4 linked regions of the Caenorhabditis elegans genome follow. The protein of the gene in region 4 interacts with the protein of the main gene of each other region in a pairwise test. Each region holds a gene or a part of one and is shown on either strand. Other genes may lie near its edges.

Region 1 (4,543 bases), 2.8 Mb from region 4:
CAGTAACCATAAGCTTTCCAATAAGCGCAGCATCCGAATCAACGGCATTCTCGAGCATATCAATGCGACGCTTAGGGATCACAAGAAAATGAATTGGAGCTTGTGGAGAGACATCATGGAATGCGAGAGCCTTAAATAAATATTTTATGTGATCGTTTGCCTGATCTTACATACCTCATCATCTTCAAAAATGATTTTCGCTGGAATCTCTTTTCGAATTATTTTTCCGAAAAGAGTGTCGTTGGCTTGAACATCTTTGTTAATTGCCGCCAAGTGGGCTTTATCTACTTCCGACATGTTTCTCTTTGTAAACCTGAAAAATGGTGGAATCGATAAAGACACCTTGCCTACAGTAACCCTGACCTAACTGGATTACGGTAAGCAAGACGCAAAGCGGTTTTAACCAAAGAGGAAGCCATACTAAAATATTGAAAAATGGGCAAAAAATAACCAATATGCAATATATTTCAAACGATGAAAACGCTAGACAACGAGAAATAAACAATAAACATGTGAAAATAAATGCTTTAATCAGTAAAATGATACAAAAAATAATCAAAAAAGTTAACACAAGAACAAGAATTAATGTACCAGAATACAATTTGAACCCATAACGTGATTTGTCGATTGTGCAGTTTTTACTTTCGAACTGAAATAATAATTTGAATAGAAAACCAAGAATTCTCCTAGGTTTCTTCGAAAACTCGGTTTCCCTCTTACTTACCATTCATGAAATATTGATTAGAAGACAATGGCGGAAGCTCTCGAATATCTCCATTTGTGAACTGTTGATAAGCTTCACCTCCCTTTCCAATATGTAATGAAACATTTCCAATTGGTTTTCGATGAACAACCCACGCGATTAGGTCAAAATCTGCTGATAATTTCGAATTCAAATGATTCAGAAGACGTTCTTTTGGAATTGTGACAAGTACTCCATTTGTTGCTTTCAAATAATAAAAATGATGATCCGAGTTCATCTCTGTGTTGTCATGATATTGCTCCACTACTAGTTCAGGTTTTGAAAGTGCGATTTTTACTTTCATTTCAAGCACTCCTCCGAAGCATCTGACCGAGTTTTTAAAGCAATCAATTTTAAGGAGAGAATCTGGCGTGTCTGGTTTCTTTTTCACTTAAAATTAAAGTTTTTTTAAAACATTGGTAAATTGTAAAATACCTGCAATATGTGTATATGGAATCTTGAAAATGAGCCTATCTTTTGTTTCAATTCTACGAGGCAAGATATCGAAGAATGCCACGTCTCCGAGTTGAGGGGATCTTTCCAATCCTTCACACGATCTTTCTTGAAGCAAAACGTTTATAACGTCTCTTTTGGCTGTGTACAAAATTGCAAAGCCATCGATTTTTTGCACAACGGTGCATAAAGCAGATTGAGGCTGAAATATGGTGATGAAGATTAATATTATTGTTCTGGCATTACGTACTTTTTCGGAATCAGTTTTATCTTGACGAAGCAGTTGAAGCATCGTTGGAGCTAAATCTTTAATAAACGGTCTCATCGGAATATTAGATGTTCCACGTGTTCCGTATGTATCTTCATCATCAATTTCATCTTCATCTGATAACTGATTTGAATCAATAACTGGTGCTGCTCGACTTGAGATTGTAGTCTGGGACAAGGATGAATCAACTTGATTCAATTCGATACTTTGGCTTCGAAAAGTTTCCGGAGGTATTTCCCGATTCTCTGACACAACTCTAGAGGAATTGTACGAATCAGATGTCTGCGAGTTCATTTGAGAATGCACGTCTTCTTGATGTTGACTTGATTGTTGATCTTGTACGTCGGTTTCGGGTGTTTGAACATATCCATTACCAGTCATAATCTAAAAATGTGATTACTTGAAAAATTCTGAACTATAAGTCACATACATCCAACAGTCTTGTATCATGAAGATACTGTACATCAGAATCAACGACTGGATTCGGGAGCTGAAATTATATTATGTAAACTGCAGGAGGTTGTGGCTTATATGTTCTGGGAAATTTTGATAAGCAAAAACCAAAATGTGAACAATTCAAAATGAACCAGGACACTTTTGCCACATACTGATTGATATCCATTTCGGCTTACAGCATCACAGGTGTGTAGCTTTTGTGGATCTTCATGCACACTCAATGCGACCCAACCTGCCAGAGATGCTTGAGCCTGCAATATTTTTATTTTAATAGTTTTTTTTAAAATCGATAACTTACTTCAACAATAAAACTGCGTCCATCATAGTGTTGACATGATGATTTGATCAGACTAAAGTCGTCAATAATATGATCATAGGAAATATCGTAACTGGTGAAATCATACAAATTATTTTTCCGATCTACTATTACATCAAATCGAGCTGTTATCTGAAAAATTATAAAAATCCGTACTCTTTATTTATTAAAACTTTTTCCATTTGAGATTACCAAAATTTCTCCTTCATCGTTAGCCTCATACTTCGGAAAGAATCTCGCCGATGAATTTCTGTGATTCGGCAAAACGTCCCAGTTTTCATATCCACAACTATTTGAGGAATCCAATACGTATTGTCCCACGAAGTTCTGACAAACAGTTAATCTAAAATTGCTAGTTAATAAAATCAGATAAAATAATGTCTAACTTTAGCCAGCGTCCTATCTGCAGGCTCTGAATATTTCCACTGATTTCGACAAATCCATCGATATTTTTGGTATAGAAAAGATAATTTCTGTTTCCATATTTATTGTAACCAACTACCAATCCATATATTTGGGTTTGCGGTTGTTGAATTTGTGGTTGGGGATTATACGACGATGATGGCTGACTTTGAGCATAATAGTGATTTGGAGGAAAATAAGAATGGTACCCATTATGCATCTGAATAGCAAGAAAATGAATATAGTTATAAATCAGAACTGATGTAATTAGCAATGACTTTTAACATAGACGTGAGCACAAATGGTATAAAACAGTTTGAAAGCATTTATTGTAAATGGTTCCCCGAAACAAGAAACTTATTTTTTTCATAGAAAAATTAATGTGATCTTCTCGTTTCGGAGAAACACCAGAGATGAAGAATAGGCAAAAAATAACAAATTAAGAGCAAAAAATATGAGATTCATAGAACAAACTGGATTATTTCTTCTGTGCTTGGGCTGCTGCTTGAGCCATCATCTGGAAGCTTTTTTGCATATTCATCACCTTGTCTCGCTGTTCCGTACACTTCTTCGAAATGTCTGAGATGCTGGCTTCCACTCGTTTGCTGAAAATTGTAATTAAAGTTTTGTTGCATTTTAAAACGTTTAAAGGTAAAATTTATTTGTTATTTTTATTTGTTTCGTGTAAATCAATAGCGTGCAAGAAGTAATACTAAAGAAACATGATAAACGTTACAACTCACGTCTCAGAGTCGATAAACTCAAGCCGTTTCTCCACAGTCGATCGAGCCTCCTCCAAATCTTGACGAACAAGAACCGCTCCGATGAGTTTGTAGACTTTCGAGTCGGATTCCATCAGATCAAGCTCCTGAATGAAGATAACATGAAAACTGAATCTCAAACTTTTTCTTACCGCTTTCACATTTTTACTCTCAGTTAATCTCATTTCCATCTCTTGGCGACTCGTGAAGTACTTTTCGCGGTCTATAATTAAACGATTGAAAAGATTGTTTAAATTAACAGTTACTAACCTTTTTCAAGAGTTCTGAGCTTGTTAACTTCTTCTTCGAATTTAGCCATATCAGCCATTTTGATCGTTTTTAGTGGGAAAAGAAGTGAAAGAAAACAAAATTGTGTTTAAAAATCTAGAAGAAAAACGGGTTCTGCGCCATCCTTCAAAGCGCCAGCAAGCTTTCTTGACGCATTTTCCGTTTTTGGCGGAAGTTCAAAACTGGATTGTATATGTTAACTTCAATTTTGTTATGCTTTTGCTAAAATTTCATTCAATAGTGACAATACGAAATATTTTCAATATAGATATTTCCAGAATCGTGAAAACCAACTTTGCATGGAATCTTGATAATATTCTTCGCGTATCTGAAAGTTTTAGCTTAATTATATACAATAATTAAATAAGTTTCTTGTAAGTTCAGGGTATTTCCCTAGGTTCTATAAACATAAAAATATATTCTTACCTGTTTTGTCTTTTTCAATTCTGACTCTAGTTTTGATAATTGAATTTCAGAAGAACGAAGTCGGTCTCCAGCAGCGTTGAAATGCTGGAAAAAAAATCAATTTTGTTTTAGCCTTGATCCACTTTTTTGAAAGTCTAAAAAAAATTGAATAAAATATTTAATATACACTGTATCCAAATATACTAATAAATCATAAAACAAATCGTAAAACAGAAACCATAAACTCACCGATTTTTCAATTTGTTGTGTTTGAATAAAATCATTTGAATCGGTATATAACTGCACTTTGATTGCATTTCTTGACTCCCGATAATCACTCATCACATTCTCAACTGCTTTTTGTCCAGATTCAGCGTCTTGAAATACTTTCTCGAATATTTCTTGGCGTTTACGAAATTCTTTCTTCTGATTTTCCGTTTTTCTGAAATTGT
Region 2 (4,719 bases), 8.6 Mb from region 4:
TTTGCGTATCAGTCGTAAAATTCGTAAATTTTCGATCATAAGTTGTTATTGAAATTGATCATAACTTAATGGAAAACATGAGAAAAAACCTGTTCGAAAATTAGTTTTGCATCAAATTAGGTGTCCGAAAATTAGTTTTGCATGCCTTACTAATAGAGGAAATACGGTAAAAGTTATGGCGGCTCAAAAAATGGCCGACATTTTTTTAAATTTTTTATCCAAATTTCGCCGTCCATCGACTTTATAATACCTAAATGAAGTTGAAAACGCAGGATAATTACATTGTATACTCAAAATTTGACGGTGAATTCAAAAAAGTTAATTTCCAGCCGCTTGACAAGTCGGTCAAATTTCAAAATTTAACTTATCTTAGGCCATTTTTTGAGCCGCCATAACTTTTACCGTATTTCCTCTATTAGTAAGGCATGCAAAACTAATTTTCGGACACCTAATTTGATGCAAAACTAATTTTCGAACAGGTTTTTTCTCATGTTTTCCATTAAGTTATGATCAATTTCAATAACAACTTATGATCGAAAATTTACGAATTTTACGACTGATACGCAAAAATTGTCCGAATTGTACTCATATTTTGTCAATTTTGACTTGTCATACCAAGTCTGTAAGAGTTTTCCTAATTTTTAGAACGATTTTATTATGCAAATTTTGAATTCCTAAACATAGGGAACAAATTGAGGGGGTGCAAAACTAATAGAGGAAATACGGTATTTGGAGAAGTTTTCAAGAAGTTTCATTATGAAATTCGATGTTTTCAGACAATTTTGAGTATATTAAAGAAATTTAAAAAAAAATTCAACTACACCACCTTTAAATACAAAAATACTGATTCTGTTGGGAAAATATTGTAAATTTCTTCAAAAAATTGATAATTTTCGCGTTTTTTCTGAATAAATTCCAAGCGTCAGAGTTTATTTAAAACATATTTACTACCCCTCCATTTTCACTTTTTCCTCTAAAATCTCGTTTTTTTAAAATCAAATTCCCGCCAAAATTTCCTCATTTTCAGAAAAAAAACCTCGAAAATAAGAAGAAGAAGCAACCATTCCATATGCATGCTCAATAATTGTTGTTTGCACAAAAATACTGGTGTCTTGTGTGAGTTTTTTTGGAAAATTCAGAAAATTTTCACTGAAAATTACAAAACCTGACAATTTTTGAATTTCGCGACGATTCAAGTATTTCACATGGTGTCAGAGTGTCACATTTCGGCTTGATCTACGTTGATCTACAAAAAATGCGGGAAAACGGGACGCTGACTTCTCATCTGATTTTGTATGGTTAAGACCGTCCTGACGTCACATTTTTTGGGCAAAAAATTGCCGCATTTTTTGTAGATCAAACCGTGATGGGACAGGCTGGCACCACGTGATATTTGCAAATTGTAAATTTTAATATATATTAAAATTAACAAATTTTTTGAAATTTGTTTGAAAATTCTGCTTGTACAGTCTTTTTTTGCAGTTTTCCAGTTGTGGAAATGTCAAAAAAAAATTAAATTGACAGAGATTTTTCAGTTAAAAAAATTTAAAAAAAAAAAACGAAAAAATTCACAAACAATTTTTCGACAAACCGGCAAATTGCCGAAAATGAAAATTTCCGGCAAACCGGCAATTTGCTGATTTGCCGAACGAACGAGGCAACCCCAGTAACATTTTCCTGAAATAATTTTTTTTCAGAATAAATAATGGGTTGCCTGTTTTCAAAAGAGCGGCGATCGGGAGGCAGTGATATGGGTGTTTCCGAACGGATAGATGTCTCCAGGTAACTATTTTATAGAGAAATGTATTATTTTTTTGGAGACAATCAACTTTTTTTTTAGATAAAAAGTGCAAAAATTAAATACAGATTTGAAAAAAAACCGATTTTCCGGTTTGGTTTAATTTTTGGTAAAAATTTGAAATTATTGATTTTTAGTTAAAAATTAGAAATCATTGATTTTTCGATAAAAAATCATAAATTATTGACTTTTCAATTAAAATAGGAAATTTAGCTATTCTAAATCTACATAAAGCATGATATTTTATGCATTTACATGGTGGTGAGCGGAAATCCCCCGTTTTGCCGGAACTTTTCAATTCCGAAAATTTGCCCGTTTCACATTTCGATAATTCGGCAGTGATCAACAGTTGTTAGATTTTCGGCATTTTCTCAGCAAGTAAGTGCCCGATCCCAACAAATTCCGGCAATTTGACATTACTGAGTTCCAAAGAATTTTGAAAAAAAAAACGAGATCCCTACTGTAGTAAATGTTTTTATTAGAAATTTTTTTTTCTGGAATTTTTTAATCGAGACTGAACTCTTTTACAATTTCGAGTGTATTTTTTTGGAAAAAATGTATAGAATTTAAAAATGTATCATTTTCTCTGTCCCGTCTTTTTTTATAGAAAGTTTGCTTTATTTTTAGGCTATTTTTAGGCCAATGTTGTTTTCTAAGCCTAAAAATGAAAATAGTATTAAGATGAACATGTGCATTAAAATTGAAATATTGAATGTTTAAAATTATTTAGTGCTCACTTTTTCCGAAAAAAAAAATATATAAATAGAATAATCTCAGAAGAAAAACTATGGCATCATTTTTGCCCAATTAGATGCCAACGATGTCTTTAAAAAATTATATATATATATATATATATATATCTTTTTTTTTAAAAACATTTAAAGACATCTATTTGGGCAAAAATGATGCCATAGTTTTTCTTCTGAGATTATTCTATTTATATATATTTTTTTTCGGAAAAAGTGAGCACTAAATAATTTTAAACATTCAATATTTCAATTTTAATGCACATGAGAATGTTCATATATGTACTTCCTTTTCTATAAAAAAAATTTGATTGTTTGCCCACCTAAAAATGCACTAACAACGCGTCAATTCGCGTATTATATTTTTTTTAAAGGTGGAGTAGCGCCAGTGGGGAAATTGCTTTTAAACATGCCTATGATACCACAATGACCGAATATCATGGTTAAAAAATTCAAAAAAAAATTTCTAAATTTTATATGATTTTTTGAAAATTGAAAAAATCTCAGTTTTGCCTAATTTTTTGTTTTGCCTAGATTTGTTCGGTGGAGCGCGCTTGCACGCTTTTATTTTTATTTATTGTTATTTTTTTATATTTTCCACCGATTTTCAATGTTTTCAGTGTATTTTTGTCTGAAATTTGAAGAAAAAGTCAAAATAAATGCAAATGTTCGATTAAAAAGCATTTAAACGACGATTTCGAAACCTGAATTAATTAATTTCAAAGATTTACGCTTGTGAAGTAGCTTTTTAATCAAAAATTAGCATTTATTTCGACTTTTTCTTCAAATTTCAGACAAAAATACACTGAAAACATGGAAAATCGGTGGAAAATATAAAAAAAAAAACAATGAATAAAAATAAAAAATGTGCAAGCGCGGCGCTCCACCGAACAAATCCAATTGGGGGTAATTCAAAATTCAAATAGGAATTATTAGGCAAAAATCTTTTTTTTACCATTTTTTAATTTTCAAAAAATCATATAAAATTTTTTTGAATTTTTTTATCATGGTATTCGGACATTGTGACCCCATCACTGCAACTTTTTCCTCACGAGAGACAAGGAAAAGTGGTTTCTAGGCCATGGCCGAGGGGCCGACAAGTTTCAGCGGCCATTTATCTTGCTTTGTTTTCCGCCTATTTTCTTTCGTTTTTCATCGATTTTTTTCGTTTTTTCTTAATAAAACTGATAAATAAATATTTTTTGCAGATGCTAAAACAATTTCCAAGTAAAAAAATCATGTATTCAGTGGGCAAGCAGCGGTGAAAGTAGTCGATGTAATATGATGGATTACGGGAATACAAAACCTAAACTTTTTCTGAAACATGATACATATGATGCTTAGATGCTTAAATTACCTGATTTTCATAACGAGACCGCTGAAAAAGTTTTGAGGTTTTCAAAATTCAATTGTTTTTGGTGAAAAAGTAGAGATTTTCGCACAAAATGTTGAATTTTAAAAATCTCTAAACTTTTTCAGCGGTCTCGTTATGAAAATCAGGTAGTCTCAGCATTTAAGCAGCATATGTATCATGTTTCAGAAAACGTTTAGGTTTTGTATTCCCGTAATCCATCATATTACATCGACCACTTTCACCGCTGCTTGCCCACTGAATACATGATTTTTTTTACTTGGAAATTGTTTTAGCATCTGCAAAAAATATTTATTTATCAGTTTTATTAAGAAAAAACGAAAAAAATCGATGAAAAACGAAAGAAAACAGGCGGAAAACAAAGCAAGATAAATGGCCGCTGAAACTTGTCGGCCCCTCGGCCATGGCCTAGAAACCACTTTTCCTCGTCCCTCGTGAGGAAAAAGTTGCAGTGGCTACTCCACCTTTAATTATTTTTCCATTTTTTTTCCGTACACTTCCCCCATTACCCAAAAAGATATCCACGCAGATTCCAAACGCCCCAACAACAGACAGTATTCCACGTGAATAACGGTGGAAACGAGGGAACCATCTCTCAACTAAACGGAACATCAGACGGAATGATGGGAAATGGACGTGGTGGTGGTGGTGGAGGAGGAGCACAGGAACGTGAGACTCTGGTCGCCCTCTATCCATACGATTCACGTGCCGACGGGGATCTTAGCTTTCAAAAAGGCGATGCTATGTACCTATTGGATCATTCGAATTGTGATTGGTGGTATGTTCGACACCAACGAACCGGA
Region 3 (7,609 bases), 9.6 Mb from region 4:
TTGGCTGAGACAAGACAATAAGTGCTCGAGCAAGAAGCGTAAGAGACTTTCGTTATAAACTTCAAATTTCTTATGCTTGAATCTAATTTTATTTTTTTTAATTCGTCTGTAAATATAATTCAAACCCACCATTCTGTAATAATATTTTATTTTCTATTTTTTCACACTCATTTTTGTGTTTTATTGGTGTAATAAACCTGGTTTCATGACTTTTTTGCAAGGAATTTTGTTGAAAAGGCTGCTGCAAAAACTTTGCCAGCAAAAAATTTTGTGCAAGCACGCTCCATCGCACAGTTTGAACGTCGCGGGTCGAAGTTAGATGTGCAGGTCATATAGCAAAAAGAGAAACACCCCTTTTTTTCTCGAGAAGTTTCACCAATTTTGCGCGATTTTTCAACTATTTTTTTGCTTTTTTGGCTTAATTTTGGCTCAGATTTTCCTCAAAAACATGAAAATCCAATCTAGAATAAGTAGTAATGGGTATATTCTAAGATTGTGCAAAAGTTAGCTTGAATTTCCTCGATTAAAGCTTTCCTACCAAGAAAAATGTGTGGATATTTTGAATTTACAAGTTTTTCATCTTTTTTTTGTAATATTCTCTTTGAAACTCCTGTTTCTCTCAAATTTGTAAACTTTCATAAACGTTTTTTTCAGGGTTACCACATTAAACAATGACCGGAAGCACCGAAACTCGCCAGAAGGAAGTCAAGGAGGTTGGTTGTTCAAAGTGACGTCTAAAATATTTAAATTTCTATATTTCAGCCACAAGTTGACGTTTCGGATGATTCCGACAACGAGGCCGTCGAGCAAGAGCTCACCGAGGAGCAAAGACGTGTGGCCGAGGCTGCTGGACTTGGAGATCACATCGACAAGCAGGCCAAGCAAAGCCGCTCCGAGAAGAAGGCCCGCAAGCTCTTCTCCAAGCTCGGACTCAAGCAAGTGACTGGTGTCTCCCGTGTCTGCATTCGCAAGTCGAAGAACATCCTCTTCGTCATAAACAAGCCAGACGTGTTCAAGAGCCCAGGATCTGACACCTACATCATCTTCGGAGAAGCCAAGATCGAGGATCTCACCCAACACGCCCAGATGTCTGCTATTGAGAACTTGAAGCCAACTCGTGAGGCCCCACAACTCAAGACTGTCGAAGAGGACGAGAATGAGGATGTTGAGGTAATTCAGTAACTTAATCGGATTTATTACATTAATTGTACGGTTTAAGGAGGATTCCACCGGCATTGAGGAGAAGGACATCGAGCTTGTCATTTCCCAAGCCAACACCACCCGCAACAAGGCCATCAGGGCGCTTAAGGAAGCTGACAATGACATCGTCAATGCCATCATGAGCCTTACCATGTAGCTTGTTTCCTGATGACCTTGCAGATACTCTTGTTATCGTTGTATCTCTTGCTTATCCCGTTTTCCGTTCCAAGTAAACGTTTATCAGTCTTTTTTAACTTTTTTGTTATGTTTAAAAAACAATTGCATCTTCGAATTGACCTACCTTTTACAGAAAAGAACAATTAAATCACTGTTTGTGTAAAACACCCCTCTATTGATCGAGAACTTTCACTTCTTCCAATTCTTTACTCGTATGACTGTGATTCATTTCACCTGCTATCACTTTATCATGACATTCCAGTTTATATCAACAGCAAATACCAATTGTGTGTATGTGAAAAATGCTATTGAATAGCAAGCGCGCCCCAACAAACACGTTTGAATGCGCGGGCGAAACGGCGTTAGATGTGCAGGTCATATGACAAAACGCATCGACCAGCAGCCAATGGCAAGTTACTGCGAGCTGTTATAGATTTTTTCACATGGTTTCCAGTGTTATCAGTTGGAAATCGATCGATAATACTGACTAGTAGTACTTAACATCTTCATTCCCACCGTTTCGCTGTCATTTGTGATACGTGGATTTATTTTTCCTTTCTCGCCGACTTTTCATTTCTAAATCTTTTCTGGAATTGCGAAATTTTCAGCCAGTTTCATGATCGAATGGCTCGTAATGAACCATCATCTCAGCAGCCGAGTAGTTCCGGGAGTAATGGAACTCCAGCACAACAAAACGGGTCGGCAAAACCATCAAAAGTCACAGTAAAAGGTAACAATTCGTAGATTTTTTGCATCTGTTCTAATAATATTTCCCCCTCTTAATCATAGTCGTCAACGCGTCGTTCACCAAGGCAGCCGACTGCTATGTCGAAATCACGAGTGACACGTCATCGGCGGCGCCAAAAAAGACGACTGTAAAGAAGAAGACGATGGCGCCCGAGTGGAATGAACATCTCAACGTTCATGCAAATGAATCTTCGACAATTTCGTTTCGTCTATTGCAAAAAGCCAAGCTATTCGATGACACGTGTCTAGGGATGGCGAAGCTGAAGCTTTCGAGTCTCACAAGAAATGAGAATGGAGAGTGTAAGTGGTTTTATTGAAATTTTCTCAAAAAATCTATTATTTCAGTCAAAAACGACATCAACAATATATCTTTGCTGGCCAAAGACTCCTCGAAAATCGGAACTCTCAACATAATTTTCTCCGGATATCCAGAGCGGAAACGAAGAAGCGCAGGAGTACGAGCTGAAACCGCCGCGTCTGCAAGTTCAGAGGCATCCACGTCAAATGGCGTTGCCACGTCATCCTCGGCGCGGAGACCGGCGACAGCGAAGCGTGACACTTTGGCGGCTCCAACGGTAATCGTGACGAGACCCATTTTGAATTATTTAATTATTCATGAAACGCTCTACTGGAGTGTTCATAATTATTAGAGCGCGCTCGCGCGGCACCTCACGAACTCCAGAATTCGCGAGGACAGCAGTTTTTGGCTATTTTGGCTTCTATGGAAATTATTTTTAATTTTTTGATTTAAAATATTGTTGAGAAGCATCATCCAAATTGAAAATGTGTAAAATTATGAAATTTGACCGAAAACTGAAGGTTTTACAGAGAGGAGTCACCACGGCTTTCTTTAAAAAGTATCAGTACCGTCAGTATTTCGATTTCAGAGTCGTAAAATATGTCATTTTGTAGAGAAACGTCTGTTTCACAAAAATCCATGTTTGATATTTTAATTGTTTAATTTCTAATATAAAAATATTCAAAAAATCAACAAGTTTACGTTAAAATCGAATTTTTCAATCGTTCAGTTTTTAATAAGAACAATTTCATAATTTCAAACATGGATTTTTTTGAAACAGACTTTTCTCTACAAAATGACATATTTTACGACTCTGAAATCGAAAAAACTGACGGTACTGATACATTTTAAAGAAAGTCGTGGTGACTCCTCTCTGTAAACCTTCAGTTTTCGTTAAAAATAATTTCCATAGAAGCCAAAAATAGCCAAAAACTGCTGTCCCCGCGAAACGAAATCCCGCGAATTCTGGAGTTCGTGAGGTGCCGCGCGAGCGCGCTCTAATAATTATGAACACTAGAGGAGAGCGTGAATGAGCGTTTTTTATTCTTTTCTCTGCATTTTTAATGCTACAGAATCATACACAAAATGTTGTCAAATACATGCATTACTCTACTACTCTTAATGTTTACTTTTCATTTGCAGAGTACCGCAGCGGCGGCAGCAGCAGCAACAGCAGGCGGCACCCCGGCCGCCGGAGCAGAAGAACAGCTTCCCGATGGATGGGAGATGCGTTTCGATCAATACGGACGCAAGTACTACGTGGATCACACCACCAAGAGCACCACGTGGGAACGCCCGTCTACTCAGCCATTGCCACAGGGATGGGAAATGCGAAGAGATCCGAGAGGAAGAGTGAGTTTTCCGGCGGAAAAAGCAGATTTAGCACGAGAAAAGCGTTTCTGATTATATTTTTGATGCGAAAATCATCAAAATTAAAAATATCTACCGTAGCCGCGGATACCTGGACCAAAATGCCGAAAAAAGTGACCTGATAAATTATTTTAAGGCTAAAATCTTGATTTTTACATAATTAGTGTCTTATTTTTGTTGATTTCTTGTCAAATTTTTGTAATTGCATCGAAATAGGCCAAAAATAAAGTAAAAATCAACTTCCAACACAGAAAAACTGACAAAATTGAAGATTTTTGCTGAATTCAGGCAATTTTTCGTAATTTTGATCCTCCATAATTTTTTTTTTCGAGAAAATTTTGAAATTTTTTCTTTAAATACGGCCTGAAAATTAGGAAATTATAACGACGGATAAAAAATTCTGATTTTCTTTATTTTAACCAAGGTCTCCAATTATTTGATAATCGAAAAAAAAAAAACTTTCCAGTGATTTTTACTTGAAAAATGTCTAAAAATTCACGCCAGGTGCACAATCCATTTTCAGGTGTATTACGTGGATCACAACACGCGCACGACCACCTGGCAACGACCGACAGCCGATATGCTTGAAGCACACGAACAATGGCAATCGGGAAGAGATCAGGCGATGCTTCAATGGGAACAACGTTTCCTTCTCCAGCAGAACAACTTTAGCGCCGACGATCCACTCGGACCATTGCCCGAAGGATGGGAGAAGCGTCAGGATCCGAATACGTCGAGAATGTACTTTGTGAATCATGTAAATAGAACGACACAATGGGAAGATCCGAGAACACAGGGGTATGTGAAAATTTTCAATTTTCCAATAATATTTCTATCAAAAATCACAGTTTTAATGTTTTAAAAGTTTCAGAGGCTCCGACCAACCTCTTCCGGATGGTTGGGAAATGCGATTCACCGAGCAAGGCGTTCCATTCTTCATCGATCACCAGTCTAAAACCACCACCTATAATGATCCAAGAACCGGAAAACCCGTCGGCCCGCTCGGCGTCGTCGGTGTTCAAATGGCCATGGAGAAGAGTTTCCGGTGGAAAATTGCACAATTCAGATATTTATGCTTGGTAAGGGAGGGCGAGAAATTCTTTGATTTTAGCTATAAATTGATGTAAATTTCAGTCAAACAGTGTGCCTAATCATGTCAAAATCACAGTATCCCGTAATAACGTGTTCGAAGACTCATTCCAAGAAATTATGCGTAAAAATGCAGTCGATCTACGCCGGCGGCTGTACATTCAATTCCGAGGCGAAGAGGGTCTCGACTATGGAGGTGTCGCCAGAGAATGGTTCTTCCTGCTGTCGCACGAAGTGTTGAATCCAATGTATTGCCTATTCATGTATGCTGGTAATAACAATTATAGTCTTCAAATCAATCCAGCTTCATTTGTTAACCCGGATCATCTTAAGTATTTCGAGTATATTGGACGATTCATTGCCATGGTGAGTGTTTTTTTTTAATTGAAAATCAGTTGAAAATTGGATGAAAAATTGCGAAATCGAGAGAAAATCGAGTTTTCCGCTTTTTACAATTGAATTTTAAAATTTTAAACGTTAAATTTTGCAGAAAATTCCAAAAAAAAGCACTTGGATCTAAAATTTTTGTTTTTTGATGAAGGAAATCCTTAAATATCGATTTTTTTTATTTTCAGCTCAAAAAACCTGGAAATTTCGATGATCTCAAATTTTCAGATCAATATATTTCATTTTCTCCTAAAAATGTTATTTTTATTTAAACAAATAGTTTTTCTTAGAAAATTCCTTTATTTTCAAATTTCCAGGCGCTATTCCACGGGAAATTCATCTACAGCGGTTTCACGATGCCATTCTACAAAAAGATGCTCAACAAGAAGATTGTTTTAAAGGACATTGAACAAGTCGATTCGGAAATTTATAATTCATTGATGTGGATCAAGGATAACAATATCGATGAATGCGATATGGAGCTCTATTTTGTTGCCGATTACGAGCTGCTCGGCGAGCTCAAGACTTATGAGCTTAAGGAGGGCGGTACAGAGATTGCTGTTACCGAGGAGAATAAGGTGAGATTTTGGATTAGCTAGAGCTTATAAAAATAATTTTTAAATAAAATAATTTAATTTAAAAAATCCCAATTTTCCAGCTTGAATACATCGAACTGCTCGTTGAGTGGCGCTTCAATCGCGGTGTCGAACAACAGACAAAAGCCTTCTTCACCGGCTTCAACTCGGTCTTCCCGTTGGAATGGATGCAGTATTTCGATGAAAGAGAGCTCGAGCTGTTGCTCTGCGGAATGCAGGACGTTGATGTGGACGATTGGCAGAGAAATACTGTCTACAGACATTATGCTCCACAGAGCAAGCAGGTAGGGGAGAACATTTGATTAAAACTTCTTTTTTTTTAATTAAAAAATACATTTATAGGTAACCTGGTTCTGGCAATGGGTTCGAAGTCTGGACCAAGAAAAACGTGCCCGGCTCCTACAATTCGTCACAGGAACGTGCCGTGTGCCAGTCGGTGGATTTTCCGAGCTGATGGGCTCGACGGGACCACAACTATTCTGTATCGAGCGTGTCGGCAAGGAGAACTGGCTCCCACGGTCGCATACGTGCTTCAATCGACTCGACTTGCCGCCATACAGAAGCTACGATCAGCTCGTCGAGAAGTTGAGCATGGCGATCGAGATGACGGAAGGATTTGGAAACGAGTAGTCTCCCGTTGTTTTTTTTTGGTTTTGCTGGCCGCCTAATTATTGTATAACCCTCATATTTCTTCTCACCCACACCCCATTGATTTTCCTTTTTTTTCTCTCCATCAATTAATGTTTCTTTTTTTCGAATTTGTGTGATAATTTTCGTGTTGTGATACCACTTGCTTAGGTTCTCTCTCTCTCTTTCCTTTCCTTCTGGGTATGTACCTATATTTAGAATATAGACAAAGCATCTAGTTTTTTTGGATTTAATTTCCAAATTTCCCGTTTAATTCCAACAACAAAAAAACAATTCCACCACTTTTCAAATATTTTTTTTGTGTCCATTGCTTCATTGCTTTTCTTCTTCTCAACCATTTCAACCACCACCACCCAATCTGCGCCTTATTCTTACTTGGTCCTTGTCATTCTTAGTTCCAGTTTTTTTCACGGAAGCAGCTCTCGATTATTAATTCAAATGCATCCCCCCAACCAATCCGTCACCCCCCGATTAGAACAATTTCTACTTTTTTTTTTGAAAACAAAAAAAAACACAATTCCTCGATTTGGTTGTAATGAATTTAATTTTTTAAATTTTGAGCCTTTTTTGTTGTTTTAGGTTTTCTTAACTTTCAGAATTTCCATGCGGAACACACGGAGAGCAGAAGATCAATATTTTGAACCCTGCAGGAGAAGGACGGGACCCTTTGGTCACTCATGTCTCGGCTGTCTGCGTCTCTCCTCTCTCTCTGCACCAGCGGAGAGGATGGATAGCCTCATTCGTTTTATTTCGGACTTTCGATTTTTCTTATTGCTCCACGTTTTAGCTTTTATCAGATTCGGGGAGCTCTTGCTTTTTTCTTGATTTTTTCGTAAAGTGTTCTTGGGTCCCGCAGCGAAAATTAACTTTAAAATGATTTTTTAAAAACTTTCTAAAAATTCATTTTTTTTTCCATTTTACGACTAGAAATTTCGAAATTTGAAAAAAAAAACCGTGTTGCAAATGCGCTCCAGCGTACAAAACAAAACCGCCACCAAAAAATTTAAATTACTGAAAAAAACGATGAAATTTTGAATTTGTTTTGCCATTTTCCGGCAATGATTTTTTAAATAAAAAAAACTGTACAACAAATGCG
Region 4 (4,969 bases):
GGAACCGGCGGAACATATTCTTTGTATACTGGAGAAGTATATGTGTTATTTTTTCGCGCCGCGATTACAGAGTTCTGTTCTGATTTGGAGGAGAGAAATAATCGAACCTGAAAATATTTTGTTGGGAAAACGTTATAATTATTTCCATATAAGAATGACTCGAGCATAGTCGTTCCTGATACTGATCCATTTTTACATTTTTTTTTTAACCCCAACTGACTGTCAACTTGAGAGGTACATATTCAAAATTAAACGAAAATTTTGCCAGACATGACGATTTAAAATTTTCAATTTGAGTTCAAAAATTAACTGCTTCGGGGAGAAGAAAGCCTAGTGATAATTTTGGATTTCTCCCATTTATTCAGTACGTTTGGCAATGTTTTTTGTAAAATGACGATTCCAGGTTTCGGCACGATCGAAATAATTTTAGATGAAGTGAGGGCAGAAGAGCGTGCACCTTTTCGAGGAATGTTATGACTTGATTATTTTTTAGCGCGGTGGAAAGTGAGGAGAAGAGGAAAAATCAAATAAAATTGAAAAAAAAACTGGGAAGTGATTTCTACAGTACCCCTTAAAGGCACACACCCTCTTGTGTGATGTTTGATATGAACGATGTTTCAATCGTGCTGAGACCTTCAAATGTGGATTCATGCATCAAAAACTTGAATATTTTCCCAATGACATTTTTTTTAAAACTAGTCACAATGAAAGTTCAATAAGCTGCCTAATCCATTCTGATGAAAATGTGCTTTCAGTAAATAATACTTATTATGTTCAGAAAATAACTTTTTGAAAAATTACTTCGAAGTATTTCAACCAGAAAACAACAAGTTTTTATAAAACGCTGAAAATTGTTTGATTTTCAGAACTTAAATAAATTTTTTGAAGCGTCAATAACTAGTGTAATAAAAATTAGGATATATGCAGAGATTGAAAATAATGCAGTATTCTGACGCCTAGTTGTTCACAGATCATCTGTGATTTTTAAGTTCGCATAACCCAGTTCAGAGTGGAGAGCAAATGCGGTGGAAAAGAAGATCAAAGCCTATAAATATCATATAATTCCTAATTTTTCTGGTGTTGAAAGGTGATTGGAACATATTTTATACAAATTCAGTTTGGTTATCTCGTTACGAAGTCTACAGTAACTTTGGAAATGCTACCGTAACCTCAGCGTCTATTTTTGACGTTACGGCAGTAATTTACAGTTACTGTAGACTTCGCTACGAGATATTTATTGAGTCAAATATTCTGCACACTTTCATTTTTCGATGTGGTAATTCAAAATAGAGGTTCAACATTACATTCGCTGCAACCCATAAAAGTTACATGCACCTAAAATGTTGTTGTTTAGGATGGATTCGAAAAGTTTGAACTTGATGCCGCTTTTGAGATTGTTATTTTCTCCTTGTTGTGAGGTTCATATGTCGAGTGTATCGCGAGATATTTGTCTGTGATTCAGGAGGAAAAAATAAAAGTTTTTCGCTAGTTTTGAAGTTAAAACTGTTATTCAATTTCGAATCTAGCAAAGAACACGAAAATGCTATATGAATTTTCCGTTTCAAGGTTGATATAATTGTTGTTTTACTTTGAAGTAGTTTGTGATGTTATCCAACTATTAGAATTAACTAAAATCATTTTTCATTTTTTGTGATATAAAATGTTATATGCAGATTTGACGAAACACTGTTCATTTTCAACGTAAATGTTGAAAAGGTTTGGAAGTGTATATTTTCCTTATCAGTATTGAAATTTTTCATCCGGAAAGTCGACATTTTTTAGAGGCCTATTGTACGATCGCTAAAAATGGGAAGAACAAAGGATGAATTAGTTTTTCGATACCGAATAGTTTCCAATCTACCAAAATTTTAAAATACTATTGTTAACAATTGTTGAACAGTACTGAATGCCAATAGGCATTCATTTCTGACAATCAAAAAACTGGGTCTGTTTCTGAAAAATCGTATCCACAATGTTCAATTTTCAGCATTTCGCGTGATTACAAAAGCTACAAATACAGTTTTAAAAAAGATTGCTGTTTTCTCGTTCACCGAAAAAGGTCAGCCACAAAATACCCCTTACAATCTTTCATGATTAACAGCAAGCCAGAAAATTGTCAATCTAAATTTGTTTTATTAAATCCATTTAACTATTCTCTTGTGTTCTGTGGAAAATGTTTTCTTTTTCAGAAACCGGCATATAGTCCGAAAAAGTGCATTACTCCATTATCTGCTTTTTGATGAAAATTCGGATTTTCAACTTTAGTATGTACTTCTTCTGTTGGAATTAGTGTACCCTGTTTAACTGTATTTTAGATACATATGGAGAGATGTTATGTGTGACGACAATGATCAGCAATCAGAATCGGAGTCATTCCCGCTGCGTCCGCGTGGTTTAAATTATTTTCCTAATATTCCATTACACAAATTTAATAATAACCAGGAAAGTTCAGAGTCGGAAATAATAATGTCCATCATATAGCTAAATTAAACACAAAACATTTTTAAATGTTCTTCGCTTAATTGGCAACACTTTTCTGCTATTAAGAGCGTTCAAAAAACTAGGTGGCCGCTTTGCATTCACTAGAGAAACATATAACACGTGCAAGCACAGAAATATTTTGATTATTGTAAGACCAGACTGCAATCTTAAGCGTATATCATACACTGGTTCACTAACAAAACAACTATATACTTGTAGAAGAAACTATACAGAGTGGATCAGTTCAGGAAGACGTGGATCGATTTTCTGAATACCCCAACACAAACCTCAGCCCCGTGAATCATCAACCGATCTTTTGTCATTGCAAGCCTCGCATCATCATCGGAAGAAAATCCGACGAAAACTTCTCCCTCGTCTCCGCCAATAATATGCACAGCCCCATCAGGAATTTTCAAACCGGTGAAAAATGTACGGACATCCGAAGCGCCTGCCGTCATCGGCAAATTTTTCAGACGGATTATCACCGACATCCTCGTCAAAAAATGGAGGATATATCAAACTCCTAACTTTAATTAGTTCGCTTCAAATCTGGAATGAAATATCAGCATGAGACAATGAACTAAATTGCAGAAATATAGAATGACAATAAAATTCAGAGAGACGACGGCAGGTGACCATTTTTTGCATATTTTCACCTTGAAAATAGATATACCTTCAGAAACAAATCTTTAGAAAACAAAAAACCTAACTGAAACTATTAAAAATTCGCTGAAAACGTGTAAAAACCGAAAATATTGACTAACGAGAGCAAAAATCGACAAGAAAAAAAGCTGCTACGCAAAGCGTTGCGTGCGCGTCGCGTGTCAGTAAATTCGCTCCACTGCGAATTTAAAAACAGAAAATGGCAAATTATGCAATTAATTGCAATTTTTAATGGATTTTTCAGGTGGAAATCTAAATGAAATGAACGATGAAATTATTGCGATCACTCAATTATGGAACTCTATGCAAACTATCGACTTCAGCGCAATCCTTGAAAAAATCTTCCCGACTTCTCAAAAAGCAACCGAAGAATAAGATCTCTCTGACACCAAAATTTTTGGACAATGTTAGAGAATGGCCGAAGATCTTTGAAGCAGAAATCGAAGCGCAATTTGAAAAAGTAAAAATCTGAATCGGGATCAAAAATATATTATATTTTCAGCTTGATGAGATGATCCGGAACAAAGTAGGATGGAGAGTGATCGAAGAACGTGGGCTCTGCGTTGGGAATCTGATCGTGACTTCAAAATATTACGATTCATATTGTGGAGAGGTAATTACCCTATCTGGTGACGCAATTTTAAGAACGAGATGGCTTAAAGCAGGAACTCCAGTATTGTTGAACAAACTGAATGAAGATGGTCATTTGCAAAAAGTGTCCGATGGGCATGTCGTTGATTGTACTGCTGGAATCGTGAAAGTATGCGCTTACGACGATAAAAATGTGGATTTCTCAACACTCAATTACATTCTCACTCCATCAACAAACAGCGGAGCTCTAAAATTTCTTCAAAGTGTAATTAAGTATGGTGGCTACCGTATACCAGACTTGAAAATATGTATTCAATTTTTCAGGAATCCATCATCATTATCCAGTGATAGTGTCCATTTAGTCAATCTCGCCTATCGATCAATTCCAATGCCCTCTATTCATGGTATTTTCAAAGAAGTTGAATTCTCCTCAATTAAAAGTTTTCAGACAGAAAAATTGGAAATCTTCCGGAAACACTCAATCCAAGTCAGGTAGCAGCAGTTTCAGCAGCAATGAACACACAAAGAAATCTATTATGTATTCAAGGACCACCAGGAACTGGAAAAACTCGTGTGATTGCTGAAATTGTTCATCAACTGATGAAAAAGAAAAAGAAAGTTTTGGTTTGTGCCCCAACACACGTTGCTGTACGGAATGCAATGGATGCAACCACGGGAAGAATGATTGAAGAAATGCCTGAAGAGAAAGCCGAACAGCGTAAGAATTTGTAATTTTTTTTTTCAAATATCTATACTTTCACAAGAATATCCTTGAAAAAGTTAAATTTAACTTCTGTAAAGCCAATATTTAATTGTATGTTGTTTCAGAACTGTGCCTCCTCGCAAACACGAAAGATGAGTTTCAAAACCACAAATCCGCTTCAAAGTTAGAAGAAATCAAAAAGCAACTTGTAAGTGAGTGTTAATCATCCCTATCCTCAATAATTTTAATTTTCAGTCAACAATGAGTACATCCGATCCTCTCTATAAAAAGATGTCATATGAATACTATTTAATTCGAAATTCTATTTTTCGAAGTATCTTCTATCCAAAACTTGCTGTTTTCTCAACATTGGGAACATCTTCAATTCAAAAACTACCGGAGTATCATTGGAATGCAGATGTCATGATTGTTGATGAAGCTGCACAATGTACGGAACCTGCGACTTGGGTGCCAGTATTAACCACACCATCTTGTAAGAAACTCATTCTTGTTGGAGATCAGAAACAGTTG

The links.
Region 1: the proteins of rbm-12 (region 4) and rde-2 interact in a two-hybrid assay, tested with the Caenorhabditis elegans proteins (one large-scale study listed by BioGRID).
Region 2: the proteins of rbm-12 (region 4) and src-1 interact in a two-hybrid assay, tested with the Caenorhabditis elegans proteins (one large-scale study listed by BioGRID).
Region 3: the proteins of rbm-12 (region 4) and wwp-1 interact in a two-hybrid assay, tested with the Caenorhabditis elegans proteins (one large-scale study listed by BioGRID).

The regions. Positions count from the first base shown.
Region 1 is NC_003279.8:7,280,015-7,284,557, forward strand, and holds rde-2 (SH2 domain-containing protein), read right to left. Parts: upstream 2,858-4,543; coding exon 2,622-2,857; intron 2,579-2,621; coding exon 2,428-2,578; intron 2,368-2,427; coding exon 2,218-2,367; intron 2,171-2,217; coding exon 2,072-2,170; intron 1,954-2,071; coding exon 1,894-1,953; intron 1,848-1,893; coding exon 1,446-1,847; intron 1,398-1,445; coding exon 1,178-1,397; intron 1,133-1,177; coding exon 725-1,132; intron 650-724; coding exon 639-649; 3' UTR 510-638; downstream 1-509. Other genes in the region: hint-1 (Histidine triad nucleotide-binding protein 1), read right to left, coding at 1-130, 175-297; pfd-6 (putative prefoldin subunit 6), read right to left, coding at 3,116-3,242, 3,381-3,505, 3,551-3,621, 3,669-3,726; F21C3.6 (DUF4200 domain-containing protein), read right to left, coding at 3,946-4,014, 4,113-4,196, 4,341-4,533.
Region 2 is NC_003279.8:1,565,904-1,570,622, forward strand, and holds the start of src-1 (Tyrosine protein-kinase src-1), read left to right. Parts: upstream 1-1,705; coding exon 1,706-1,782; intron 1,783-4,433; coding exon 4,434-4,719. UniProt on the Caenorhabditis elegans protein: Non-receptor tyrosine-protein kinase which plays a role in endoderm development by controlling spindle orientation in EMS blastomere, probably downstream of receptor mes-1.
Region 3 is NC_003279.8:535,137-542,745, forward strand, and holds wwp-1 (E3 ubiquitin-protein ligase wwp-1), read left to right. Parts: upstream 1-1,985; 5' UTR 1,986-2,001; coding exon 2,002-2,107; intron 2,108-2,166; coding exon 2,167-2,424; intron 2,425-2,469; coding exon 2,470-2,699; intron 2,700-3,565; coding exon 3,566-3,775; intron 3,776-3,949; exon of another isoform or gene 3,950-4,106; intron 4,107-4,316; coding exon 4,317-4,591; intron 4,592-4,658; coding exon 4,659-4,872; intron 4,873-4,927; coding exon 4,928-5,248; intron 5,249-5,586; coding exon 5,587-5,847; intron 5,848-5,927; coding exon 5,928-6,149; intron 6,150-6,207; coding exon 6,208-6,495; 3' UTR 6,496-7,062; downstream 7,063-7,609. Other genes in the region: psf-3 (DNA replication complex GINS protein PSF3), read left to right, coding at 1-58; icd-2 (Nascent polypeptide-associated complex subunit alpha), read left to right, coding at 672-713, 763-1,170, 1,220-1,357. UniProt on the Caenorhabditis elegans protein: E3 ubiquitin-protein ligase which accepts ubiquitin from an E2 ubiquitin-conjugating enzyme in the form of a thioester and then directly transfers the ubiquitin to targeted substrates. Ubiquitinates klf-1.
Region 4 is NC_003279.8:10,120,522-10,125,490, reverse strand, and holds the start of rbm-12 (RRM domain-containing protein), read right to left. Parts: upstream 3,033-4,969; 5' UTR 2,973-3,032; coding exon 2,769-2,972; intron 108-2,768; coding exon 1-107. Other genes in the region: Y106G6D.5 (Helicase ATP-binding domain-containing protein), read left to right, coding at 3,413-3,604, 3,647-4,008, 4,060-4,139, 4,184-4,453, 4,564-4,646, 4,694-4,969.